2 linked regions of the Arabidopsis thaliana genome follow. The protein of the gene in region 2 purifies or fractionates together with the protein of the main gene of each other region. This does not show direct contact. Each region holds a gene or a part of one and is shown on either strand. Other genes may lie near its edges.

Region 1 (7,024 bases), on a different chromosome or scaffold from region 2:
TATAGTTTCTTCAATGGAGATTACTCAATATCAAAGTTTTCATGAAGGTTCGAGTTCTAGGGTTTCCATGAACAGGAATTCACAAGTAATATCCAAGATCAAACCCAAGATTCGCATAATCCATATATTTGCACCGGAGGTCATCAAGACCGACGTCAAGAACTTTCGTTCACTCGTCCAGAGTCTAACCGGGAAACCGGCACCGGGAGAAGCCAAAACCGGTAAAAAGAGAGCCAAATCAAGAATTACGACTCCCCAAGAACCGGTTTGCGATGATCATCAGCCGGTCAACAGGCTTTCGGGTTTCACCGGTTTACTAGCAAACGGAGGAAACCACCAGGTGAAAGAAGAGTGGGGATCAGGTGATCAGAGTACTTCGAACACAAACACGTACTTTGATCTAGAAGGTTTAATTCAAGATGTCGGAGAAGATTACTTCTCTTCGTTTCCCATGAGATCCTCTTCTTCTTCACAAGTCGAAGGTTTCATCTTCAACAACAACAACAACAACAACAACAACAACAACAACAACAACAACAACAACACCAACTTCGATACAAAGGCTCATAATTCGTCTTAATTAATAACAGATTAATTTCTAGGGTTTTCAATCTTATTGATTCTGCAAATCGCATTTGGTGAGATGAGATCTAATCGCAACGATAAGGTCATATTTTGTGGGAGAAAAAAGGCATAGAAGTTGTATATAGATATAACAAATGGGTATGATGAGAGACATAAACTTTTGGCGGGACTGACTTTGCCAAGGTTGAGAGTTGTGATGAAGAGAGTTTAATCTACGTGCAGCCCTTCTAGGAGAAGTGGCTGTATCTAATTAAGATGTGGTCGGTCAAAAAAGCCCTAGTTTTATTATGTAACTTCATTGATGTGCTATTATTGGATGTGTATTAATTCTTTGGTGTGCAGATAAATGTGATGATTGCTGTACTTTAATTTTGGGGAAAAAGTTTGTATGGAATTAGAACAAGGATCGACTTGTTTTCGATATAGATACTCTGATTGATTGTGTATATTGAATATCGATACTTACATAACGGTTATTCGGTTAAAGTACAGTTACACTAATTAAATTAAACTGTAAGTTAACAAGAATATTCTGGCTCAAGCTAAATTATTTTTTTTATTATTATTGTTTACTAATCTTTTGTTACAAATGTTGAAAATGATATTTATTATACATGTAGTACTTCAACTAAAATAAATAACGTGTTTTCATATTTGATGTACGTGTATAATATATCATTTTCAACAGTGAGTAATATTAACCCTTTTATCAAAATAAAGTAAAACAAAATGATATAACCTATCAACAAAATGCAAAGAAAATTGATCCGAACCGAATATAGCCGTAACGGTACACCAAAATTGTTTTGAGATTTTAGTGTCCGTTGACCTTTTCATATAAAGCCAAATTATTCGGTCTGGTTTCCAAAAGAACGAAAAGGTATATGATTACGGTTTACTCCCTTGCTTCTGTGTTTTGGTTTAGTTTGGTTTACCTTCTCAAAGTTCTCGAACGTCAACATTTATTTTATCTTATTTTGTAAGGTTCTGCACATGTTATACTTATTAATTAGTCTACTTTTTCAGGCATTGGGATTATTTGTTTTAGTCTAAATCGGTTTTGGTTGCATAATATTGGATGAAAACATTGTAAAGGACAATTTCAAACCTGACTTTTCTAGATTTGGAAACGTTCCGGCTGCTTGAAAAGCTCACATAAATATTAGTATGATTTCTTAAACCAAAAATAAATGATGATTATCAACAATACCGTAAATAAGGCAAAGGAAATAAATGATGATTATCAACAATTGCCGAAAATAACCACACCGGTACACCGAAATTGTTTTTGAGATTCATAAAACCGGAATAATACGCCTAAAGGTTATTTTCTCCAATACCGGTTTAGTTTGGTTTGCCTTCTCAAAGTACTCGAAGGTCAAAATTGGAATTTAGTAATAAACCTGCTCCAGCTATATACAAATGTCATTTGCTCACCTTTCGCCGATTGATTTTGTACATCACACGCAGACGCAGCTTTTAGTATTTTTTTCAACAATCGCTTTTTTTTTTCTCGATCTCCGTGAAGCTCTCGAATCTCTGGTATGTTTCTTCGCTTCTTCATAGTGTTTCTCATTTCCTTTTGGTCTTCCATAATTTTCGGAGAATCTAGTCCTGTTTTTCTCTTCTTCTGGAATCTGAATTCGCCGGTGAATTCCGCTGATCGAATCTCTGAGTTTTGTTGAATTATTTGATTCGGCGATAAAACTTTTTTTGTTTGTTTCTGATTTTGGTGAGTGTTGATTGCTTGAGTTTTTTCACGGATCGATTTGTTTTGAGAATTGGGTGGATACTGTCTGTCACAGGTTTTGAGTTTTGGAGAATGGTGTTTTTCCGCAGCGTATCGGCCTTTACTAGGCTGAGGTCTCGCGTCGTAAGTATTTGAAAATTTTGTTTCCAGTTTTGTGTTTGTTCTCGTTTGATCTCGCTGGTTCATGCTAATCGATTGATTGGTGATCGAATCTATGTAAGCAGGGCCAACAATCTTCACTCAGCAATTCTGTCAGATGGATTCAGATGCAGAGCTCTACCGACCTGGTAAATCATCTCCGTTGCTTCGTACTTTCGTGTGTGATCGTGATCATGTAGTTTTCATGATCATGATCATATGTAAGTTTAATATTGGTTTGGGATCTGCTGCTTGTGGGGTCTTTGTTCATTTTGTTTAAATGGTGGCAATGCAGGACCTGAAGTCGCAGCTGCAAGAGTTAATTCCGGAACAGCAGGTTAGATTAGACTCTGTTTGCTTTAAATGAAAATTTGTGTTGTTGACTTTTTTTTTTCATTGAATGTGTGTATTATTTGTTATGTTAGCTGAGATTGTTAAGTTAAGAAGGCAGGCTAGTTGTAGTGAATCTCTTTGCTTTTCTAGTTTCCTCTTTTCTCACAAGAATTTTCCAATTTCAGGACCGTCTGAAGAAACTGAAGTCAGAACATGGGAAGGTCCAACTGGGAAACATCACTGTTGATATGGTAGAAACAATCATGATTTTCACGTTTTTGGTTTGTTTATATGATTTTCACCTTCCATTGCATAACTCATCATAATCCCCTTTGAAATAAAGGTTATTGGTGGAATGAGAGGGATGACTGGATTGCTTTGGGAAACCTCATTGCTTGACCCGGAAGAGGTACTGTATAACTCTCTGTATATAGTTACAATAGCTTGGTTAGATCCTAGATATAGAATATATCAAATGCTCCTCCTTCCTGTTCTAAGGCTGTTGATGCAATTATCTTATCATTATTTCAGGGTATTCGCTTTAGGGGATTGTCGATTCCTGAGTGCCAGAAAGTATTACCTACTGCCCAGTCTGGAGCTGAACCATTACCGGAGGGTCTTTTGTGGCTTCTCTTAACTGGAAAGGTGTGGCTCTTCTGTACATTATTATAAGTTGGTTCTGGATATGTCCAGTCGATTAGTTTTCCTCAATAGATTATCTTATGATATCCTTTTTTACCCTTTTTCGTATAGGTACCTAGCAAAGAGCAAGTTGAAGCACTGTCGAAAGACTTGGCGAACCGTGCTGCTGTGCCAGGTTTGGATATTACCTTTTTCGCTCTGGCTGTTGCAAATAAAGGAGTCTGTTTATTGGCTCATTCAAACTTGTTTGACATCAATGCTTACAAGAAATTGCTTAACAGAAATGAAATAAATTTGTGGGTTTTGTGTTATACTTTCATTCATTCTTAACTTGTATCCAATTTTTATACAGATTATGTGTACAATGCCATCGATGCTCTGCCTTCCACAGCTCATCCAATGACTCAATTTGCTAGCGGTGTTATGGCCCTCCAGGTGTGGTTCTCTAAACTCGTATTGTTGTTTCTGTTCTTCTTGTGATAAGCGTTGGAAACTTATTGTTTTTTTTGGCTATAAGTAAACAATTTTCAGCAGAATGATAATTTTCTTTACCTAATATCCAGGTGCAAAGTGAGTTTCAAAAGGCATATGAGAATGGAATTCATAAGTCAAAGTATGCTTTTGGGGTTCTGATTTAGTTCATGATAGCGTTTCATATTAGCTGGCATCATAACAAAGATTTTTTCTTCCAGGTTCTGGGAGCCAACATATGAGGATTGCCTCAACCTGATTGCTCGTGTTCCTGTTGTAGCTGCATATGTTTATCGAAGGTTAGTGAAGACTCTTTTTGTACTCTTTTTCATGTTTCTTGTAGCTTCTGGATTTTCGGCAATGATTTTTTTTTTATTGGAAAATTTGCCATCTCTTGTTTTTGCTTTGTATTGACTGTTGACCTTTTCCATGCATCATTGCAGGATGTATAAGAATGGTGATTCCATTCCCTCAGATAAATCTTTGGATTATGGTGCAAATTTTTCCCACATGTTGGGATTTGATGATGAAAAGGTGAAAGAGCTCATGAGGCTTTACATCACCATCCACAGGTCTGTATTAATTTTCGTCACCCATGCATGTCTCCTTAAATAAGCTTAATTATCTTGTAAATTTGTTTGTTCTTTTTAAGACTTTAAATAGACCTTTGTATAACATTTTGCTTTTCTACTATTTTTTGCTCTAGTGATCATGAAGGTGGAAATGTTAGTGCTCACACTGGTCACCTGGTATGTATATACTCTCCATGTGTCAATTTTAAAGGATTGACCTACCTGAAGTTTCTAATGGTTCTTTTGCTAAAAATTCTTGTTCATGTAGGTTGGTAGTGCACTTTCAGACCCATATCTGTCATTTGCAGCTGCATTAAATGGTTTAGCTGGGCCACTCCATGGTTTGGCTAATCAGGTATCCTCCCTTGTCTATATCTTGAATAAGTCTTAAATCTTCAATCTACAATAGAGCTTCGTAAGTGGCTTTTTGTATTTTATCTAGGTAGGTTGTGATAGTTTGATGATACAACCATAAATTGGAGAAAACAAATTCTTAGTCTTTTTTTATTATTGTTTCAACAGGAAGTTTTGCTTTGGATCAAATCAGTCGTAGAGGAATGTGGAGAAGATATATCAAAAGAACAGTTGAAAGAATATGTTTGGAAAACATTAAACAGTGGCAAGGTAAAAACAGGAAATTCCTCTGCCTTGACATTCTTTACTTTCTGGTCTTGTACCTGAATCCCACTTTTGAAGCCAGCCAACAAGACTGATGGAGCATGCGAAAATGAATTAACATCTTGTCTACTAGTCATCATAATAGGCTAATATTTCAATTTATTGTGTGATACTGTTATGGGTCCTCTTATTTACGACCTCATAGTTTGGTCAGTTGCTCTAACTGCTCCTAGTAAGTAATACTGCCATAAGAGCTTTGGATCCTGTTTTTCCCTATCCTAGTTTACCTTGTGGATGTAATGTTACAAGGATAGTCTAATGATGATCTATTGACGAGTCTTGTTTTGTCTCTAGGTTATTCCGGGATATGGTCACGGTGTTCTGCGCAATACTGATCCAAGATATGTATGCCAAAGAGAATTTGCCTTGAAGCATCTACCTGACGACCCTCTTTTCCAGCTGGTACTTTTTTTCTTTCTCTTTTCTCTTTTCTGTTCGGTTCTCAAAATTCTATCAATGTTCAGTAGCTAACAAAATCCTTCCAACTCTGTAGGTGTCAAAGCTTTATGAAGTTGTGCCTCCTGTTCTCACTGAGCTTGGAAAGGTAGTATCTCTATCCTTCGTTTACCATGGTGATCCTTCAATATTCCACCAACAACTCCACAACACCTTACCTACATGCTAGGGGCTTATGAATCTCTTGCGAATCAATTTTTTATTTACTTGCGAATCCGATGATGGCTTGTTACAGGTGAAGAACCCGTGGCCAAATGTTGATGCTCACAGTGGGGTCTTGCTGAACCACTATGGTCTAACCGAAGCAAGGTAAGAAGTAGACACCTCCTTCAAGTATCATTGAGCCTTAGGATAGCACTCAAATATAATATCTGTGCGTTTTATAGGTACTACACCGTGCTCTTTGGTGTTTCAAGGAGTCTTGGCATCTGCTCTCAGGTAACATATATATATTTACACATTACGCCTTTGTTACTACATAACATTTAAAACAGAACTCATATGCTCTCCATTCTCATTTGTGTTTAATTCACAGCTTATATGGGACCGAGCTCTTGGACTTGCACTTGAGAGGCCAAAGAGTGTTACCATGGACTGGCTTGAAGCCCATTGTAAGAAAGCTTCATCTGCTTAAGTCACCACCGAGTCCTGAGTTGTCGCACTCTCTCGTGTTTCAACAAAAGTCATTCTCTTCCACACTGGATAGCTTTTTTTGTTTTTACCTTCTATTGACAGAAGAAACATTTGTTCATGTAGAAATTGTTCCTGAGAAACACATGCTTGGTGCAAATTTGCATTTCCGGGAAACTCGTGATAATAAATAAACAGTTGTATTCAGTTTGCGTAAAAATCAAACATCAATATCACTCATGAATTAAAGCTTATCTTGGTTTTGATATACATAAAAGAAACAAGACTGCAAAATAGAAAACTTCGACATGAGTTTATCAAAAAGAAAATGGGATTAAGAGCTGCTGGTATTGTCGGTAGTAGTCTCCTTGTTAGAAAGGTCATCATCATCAGCAAGAGAGGCTGTGAAGTTGAGTCTCTCTTCGGCGCCGGCAGTGATAACCGGCATCCAAACATCAGCTGTGCCGCTAAGAAGCGTCTGAACCTGTGGATCAGAAGCTATAGCTGATGATATCATCTCATCCACATCATCTAACTTTGCTGATAACTTGTCCAATTCCTTAGCTATCTCCACCTGAAAACACAAACAATCACACACAAAGCCTCAGATTTACATTACAATGTGTACCAGATATATGAGTGAACACAGGATACAGACCTCATTGAGGTGTTGAGCAGACTTTGATGGCACTTTAGTGACTTCTAAACCAAGAGCTTCAATCTTAGAACGTAGCTCAACCTCTTCTGTATTTGTCAATGATTCTACCTA
Region 2 (4,928 bases):
AGCTGTTGGAAGAAAAAATACACCGGGATGACCAATTCAAAGAGCTGGAAGCCAATGTGCGTTATCTTGAAGATGAGAGAAGAAAGGTGAACAATGAGAAAATAGAAGAGGAGGAAAAGCTGAAGAGCGAAATCGAGGTGCTGACACTGGAAAAGGTAGAGAAAGGGAGATGCATAGAGACGTTAAGCAGAAAGGTGAGTGAGCTAGAGTCGGAGATAAGTCGACTTGGAAGTGAAATAAAAGCGAGAGACGATAGGACTATGGAGATGGAGAAGGAGGTGGAGAAGCAGAGGAGGGAACTAGAAGAAGTAGCAGAAGAGAAGAGGGAAGTGATAAGACAGCTCTGTTTTTCACTAGACTACTCCAGAGACGAATACAAGAGACTACGCATAGCCTTTTCAGGGCATCCACCAACAAGACCATCATCCATTCTTGCTTCTTAATTCTTGTGTACAGTATATACTCTTTGTAACTTTGTTGGTGATACTTTCACATATAGGGAGCTGTTTTGAGATTGGTTTGTGGAAAAGAAAAAGCTCATAAGATTTGTGTTTGATATTAGCTATGCATTATCTAGTTTGAGTTCTGAAACTGGAATAAAGCATAGAAACGTTTCAAGTGTTTACAAATACTACTGTATATGACTTTTGGAGCATTGCTCAAGAAAAATCACATACAGATGCATGTAAATAAGAAATAAGAGTTTCATTTTCTTATTCTGAACAATAATCATAAGTAATGTGGCTGTGCTCTGTACAGCTAACAACCCGGAAGAGAATGCTTACTTGAGATGTTCAACGTCCTGCAAAAATCAAACTTCCCCAGGAAGCATAGTATCTACCGGACCAAGATCACAGTAGGCAATGCCCTGAAACACACATTCATAAAGCAACCAAGGTTAGTTTCTATATAAATTGGCTTTGTCTGAATAGACAAGAAAGATACGTACCTCTCCAGTGAGGTGTGCAACACATCTCTTCTCAGCCAACAGTTCCGCTTCCGACTGCAATATTTTCATGTCTCAGTTAAACTTCTAGTATTTAGATACAAAACCTGAAAAAGATTAATCTCTAAGAAGGCTATACCTTGGCGATTCGTTGGCGAAGGTAGTCATCAATTTCTACATCCTTGACAAGTTCATAATCTCCATCTCCCTGTAAGCAACACACAATTTTGAGACTTACCTCTAGAGAAAGGTTTTAAGTATAAGGATAGAACATACCTTCGACCGGCATGGCATACTGAAGACAAGGCCCTCTTCAATACCATAAGGATTTCCATCCGTGTACACCTAAATTTACATTAACACAACCCTGTTAAAACTTGAACCAATCTATCTTATTGTTATCCAAATGAGTGTAAAAGAAGATGTACCCCAGTCGAAAACCAATCACCCTCAGGAGTAGGAGTTACAAGAGACTTTATAGCATCAACAATGGAAACAGCAGTAGAAGCAGCAGAAGATCGACCCCATTTCTGAATTAATAACCCACCTCTCTGTAAAACAAAACGCAAACTTACTCAGCAAAACATTATATCTCATTGCAGAAATCATTTCATTATCAGAGGAATCGCCATCTTACCTTCTGCACACTCTCAGTGAATCCCTCTTCTAACCATTTGTGATCTGTAATAACCTCCTTCACAGGCAGGCCATTAATTCTGGCATTTAAGAAGTCTGGCACCTAATTTTCCTCTAAAAGATTAGAGAAACATCCCAAGATAAATGTAGAGAATAGATGACACTAGAGTAAGATAAGGCAAACCTGAGTCGTGGAGTGATTTCCCCATATGGTCATATTAGACACTTTGTCATAGAAAACACCGGCTTTAAGAGCAAGCTACAAAATGGAAATTGTCAATCATATGTATGCAAATATATTGCATACAATCACATATAGGTGTGAAATCTAGTACCTGGCATTTGGCACGATTTTCGTCTAACCTCGTGAGGGCATGGAAGTTCTTTGCAGGAATGTTGGGAGCATTTTTAAGACAAATCAAGGCACTGAAAGAACACAAAATGAGGTAAAGTATACTTCCAATGTTTGTCACTGATTACGATATGAAGAGGGTTGAATTAAGGAATGTAGCTTACTTGGTGTTGCAAGGGTTTCCCACTACAAGAACCTTGACGTTAGGAGAGGCAGCTTTGTTCAGAGCTTTGCCCTGCTCAGCAAAGATTTGGCCATTGATGTCCAACAAGTCAGCACGTTCCATTCCAGGGCCTCGAGGTTTTGCTCCAATCAGAATAGCCCACTCCACATCTTGGAACACTTCATTTGGATCTGTTCCTATATCAACTTCTCTCAACAATGGGAACAATGAATCCTCCAGTTCCATTGCAACACCTTCAAGAGCTTGAATTGATCTCTCTGATCCTAGCAGTTTCAATGCAATGGGTTGATCTGGACCAAATACTTCCCCTGAAGCAAGCTACACACCCGGAAAACCAAAGATACATAAAATAAGACCAATTATTGGTAACCTTATCCTATAAAACAGTAACTTAAAGGATTAACTTACTTTGAAGAGAAGATGGTTAGAAATCATTCCTGCAGCACCTGAAACTGCAATATTAATTAACTTCTTCCATGATCTTGTCTCTTCTTCCTGGCAAACACACACATAATACTATTATATCCATGTAAAGCAGAGGATTATCTCAATTCTCAAGTCTCAAAGATAAGATTCTTTTATAGAAAAATAGTAAGAGGGAATAGTAAGATACAGCTTTAAGATCATAGGTGAGGCAGAACACTCCATAACACTCTTTCTTCGTCTTCACCAATCCATTTTCTTGCACAGCAACAGGAGCTTGGCTACTTTTATCATCAATTCACAAAAGCATCTAAGATCAGATAAAGTTGATTTATTTAAGAGAGAAGAAACGATTAGGAGCTTAAAGAGACTTACTTTTGAGAAACGGAGCAAGAGATTTTGGAGTTGGGAGTTGTTGTGTGGAGAGGTGGAAGAAGAAGATGGCGAAAGTGGTTTGAAAGGTGCAATTTTGAAGAGAGACGAAGCCGAGACGAAGAGTTGAGAAAAGGCGACGTCGTTTTGGGGGTTGAGAGCTCTGCCATGGCCATTATCGCACAGACACAAACTGTGAAAGTGAGATTTCAGAACTGGAACTATGGAGAGAGAGCGCGCCAAGCGACAGAGTAGTAAGAAAGAGGATTGGGGAATCTATGGATAAGGCTCAGCTCTTGACACTTGTCACTCTTTTAGCATCCTCACCGTTTATCTTCTTTTGACTTTTAGGCCCAGTTAAGGCCCAATAACAGAATATACCTGAAACCGTTCGAATTTGATCACTGATCGGAGATTTTCGTCTTCGCCGGCGACATTGCATCCGCTGACCAGAGAATTAAAAAAGTTGCGACTTTGATCGCGAAAGTTTCAATAATGGAGGTCATTGATCAATGGGTTGCTGAATTTTTCCTCCTTCGACAACACAATCCTAGGGCTTCCCCTATTAATCTGATTTCGGCGCTAAAATTAGGAGATTCCTCCGACTGCATAAAGCTCAAGATATCTTCCGTCTTGCGTGACATCTCCAATTCATTGATCCGAGGTACGATTGATGAGGGAATGCTCGATCTTCTCGAGATTCTTGAGAAGCTTCTCTTGCAGCAACATTCGCTACTCATGGATTCTCACAAGTCTGCTTATTGCTGGACGGCTACTGAGTGTACGCTTAGATTTATGTGGCCAATGTTTGCTTCGGATGGTTTGTTCACCGATGCGCTTGAGAGGATATGGACGAAGAGGATTGGGATTTTGAAGGAGAGTGGTAGCGATTTGGTGACTTGTGACTTGTTGAAATGGGAGAGTGATTTGAAGAAGGCCCTTGGAGATCCTGAGCTCTATCAGCGAATTCGTGAGACTAACATCAGGTACACTGCCATTTCCTTTCTCACTCAGCTTCTCAAAGAACAGTGGGCATTACTTGGGAGTTCCTCTCTTGAATCAGTAGCTCAAAGAAGGTTTCTTAAGCGCAAGGCTGTGAACGTAGAGGGTGATGTTGTTGACAACAGAGGGGATCAAAGTGATGTTGATGAAAGCACGAGACGTTTTGGGAGTGATACTATTGATATCGCCAACGAGGCGCGTGGTGAAAGGGAGGACGGGAATGGGATTGGTAGAGACAACGCTAATGATGGTGAAGGAATGGAATGTCTGGAGAATGATGGGATTGATAATGTGAATGCAGCAGACGAGGAGCACACAGTGAGTGCACAAGATCAGGAACATGAGCCAAGTCTTGATAAGGGAGACGAAATGGCTGCTCGAGAGCTGAAGGAATATTTAGTAGAGATTCAAGGACACATCGACCCTTCCACTAGGCAAGGGGAAGAACCTAACAGTGCAATTGATCACTCAGTAGATGTCACTCCTCCGCCTACTCGGGTGAATAGGACTGGAACAGGCTGTCAAGACCATAACGAAGCATCGGTGAGTGTTAGTCAATTTTCCCTCAAGATGCTTTCTAAAAATCTTGTTCTTTGGTTCATGAATTTGTGGTTTAATTGTGAAAACAGGATAATGTAAATGAGAAAGGTTCGGATAGTCAGGAAACATGGTCTAGCAGAGTTCGGCCTCGTCGACCAACCCCTGTAACTCTGAGTGTATCTCCATTAAAGAAAGGCGGATTGGCGAAACCACATGTCAGGAGACCAAAGAAATTCTGGAAGCCAGAAGAAGTGGAAGCTCTGAGGGAAGGAGTAAAAGAGTATGCAAACACTCTTTGCCTAGTCCCGTACTCTATTATCAATATTCAATAGTGATACATCTTGGACCTCATTAAGATTATACCACTGGCTCATTTTGTTGTTGTTGTTGTGCAGGTATGGTAAATCATGGAAAGATATAAAGAATGGAAACCCTACAGTATTTGCGGAGAGGACAGAGGTGAACATTTCCTT

What was found.
Region 1: the proteins of AT5G58330 (region 2) and ATCS fractionate together in Arabidopsis thaliana (co-fractionation; one large-scale study listed by BioGRID). This does not show direct contact.

Annotation. Positions count from the first base shown.
Region 1 is NC_003071.7:18,314,266-18,321,289, forward strand, and holds ATCS (Citrate synthase family protein), read left to right. Parts: upstream 1-2,012; 5' UTR 2,013-2,127; intron 2,128-2,154; exon of another isoform or gene 2,155-2,317; intron 2,318-2,390; 5' UTR 2,391-2,407; coding exon 2,408-2,458; intron 2,459-2,556; coding exon 2,557-2,622; intron 2,623-2,768; coding exon 2,769-2,810; intron 2,811-2,991; coding exon 2,992-3,057; intron 3,058-3,149; coding exon 3,150-3,215; intron 3,216-3,337; coding exon 3,338-3,451; intron 3,452-3,559; coding exon 3,560-3,623; intron 3,624-3,800; coding exon 3,801-3,883; intron 3,884-4,011; coding exon 4,012-4,061; intron 4,062-4,140; coding exon 4,141-4,218; intron 4,219-4,362; coding exon 4,363-4,491; intron 4,492-4,625; coding exon 4,626-4,668; intron 4,669-4,759; coding exon 4,760-4,846; intron 4,847-5,013; coding exon 5,014-5,115; intron 5,116-5,463; coding exon 5,464-5,571; intron 5,572-5,662; coding exon 5,663-5,713; intron 5,714-5,860; coding exon 5,861-5,934; intron 5,935-6,011; and 5 more. Other genes in the region: AT2G44340 (VQ motif-containing protein), read left to right, coding at 14-580; AT2G44360 (ecotropic viral integration site protein), read right to left, coding at 6,590-6,829, 6,914-7,021.
Region 2 is NC_003076.8:23,579,199-23,584,126, forward strand, and holds AT5G58330 (lactate/malate dehydrogenase family protein), read right to left. Parts: upstream 3,198-4,928; 5' UTR 3,090-3,197; coding exon 2,917-3,089; exon of another isoform or gene 2,913-2,916; intron 2,826-2,912; coding exon 2,732-2,825; intron 2,614-2,731; coding exon 2,527-2,613; intron 2,437-2,526; coding exon 2,099-2,436; intron 2,009-2,098; coding exon 1,918-2,008; intron 1,842-1,917; coding exon 1,767-1,841; intron 1,686-1,766; coding exon 1,584-1,685; intron 1,498-1,583; coding exon 1,375-1,497; intron 1,292-1,374; coding exon 1,223-1,291; intron 1,155-1,222; coding exon 1,086-1,154; intron 1,004-1,085; coding exon 950-1,003; intron 869-949; coding exon 812-868; 3' UTR 524-811; downstream 1-523. Other genes in the region: NET4A (Kinase interacting (KIP1-like) family protein), read left to right, coding at 1-443; AT5G58340 (myb-like HTH transcriptional regulator family protein), read left to right, coding at 3,409-4,458, 4,545-4,735, 4,851-4,914.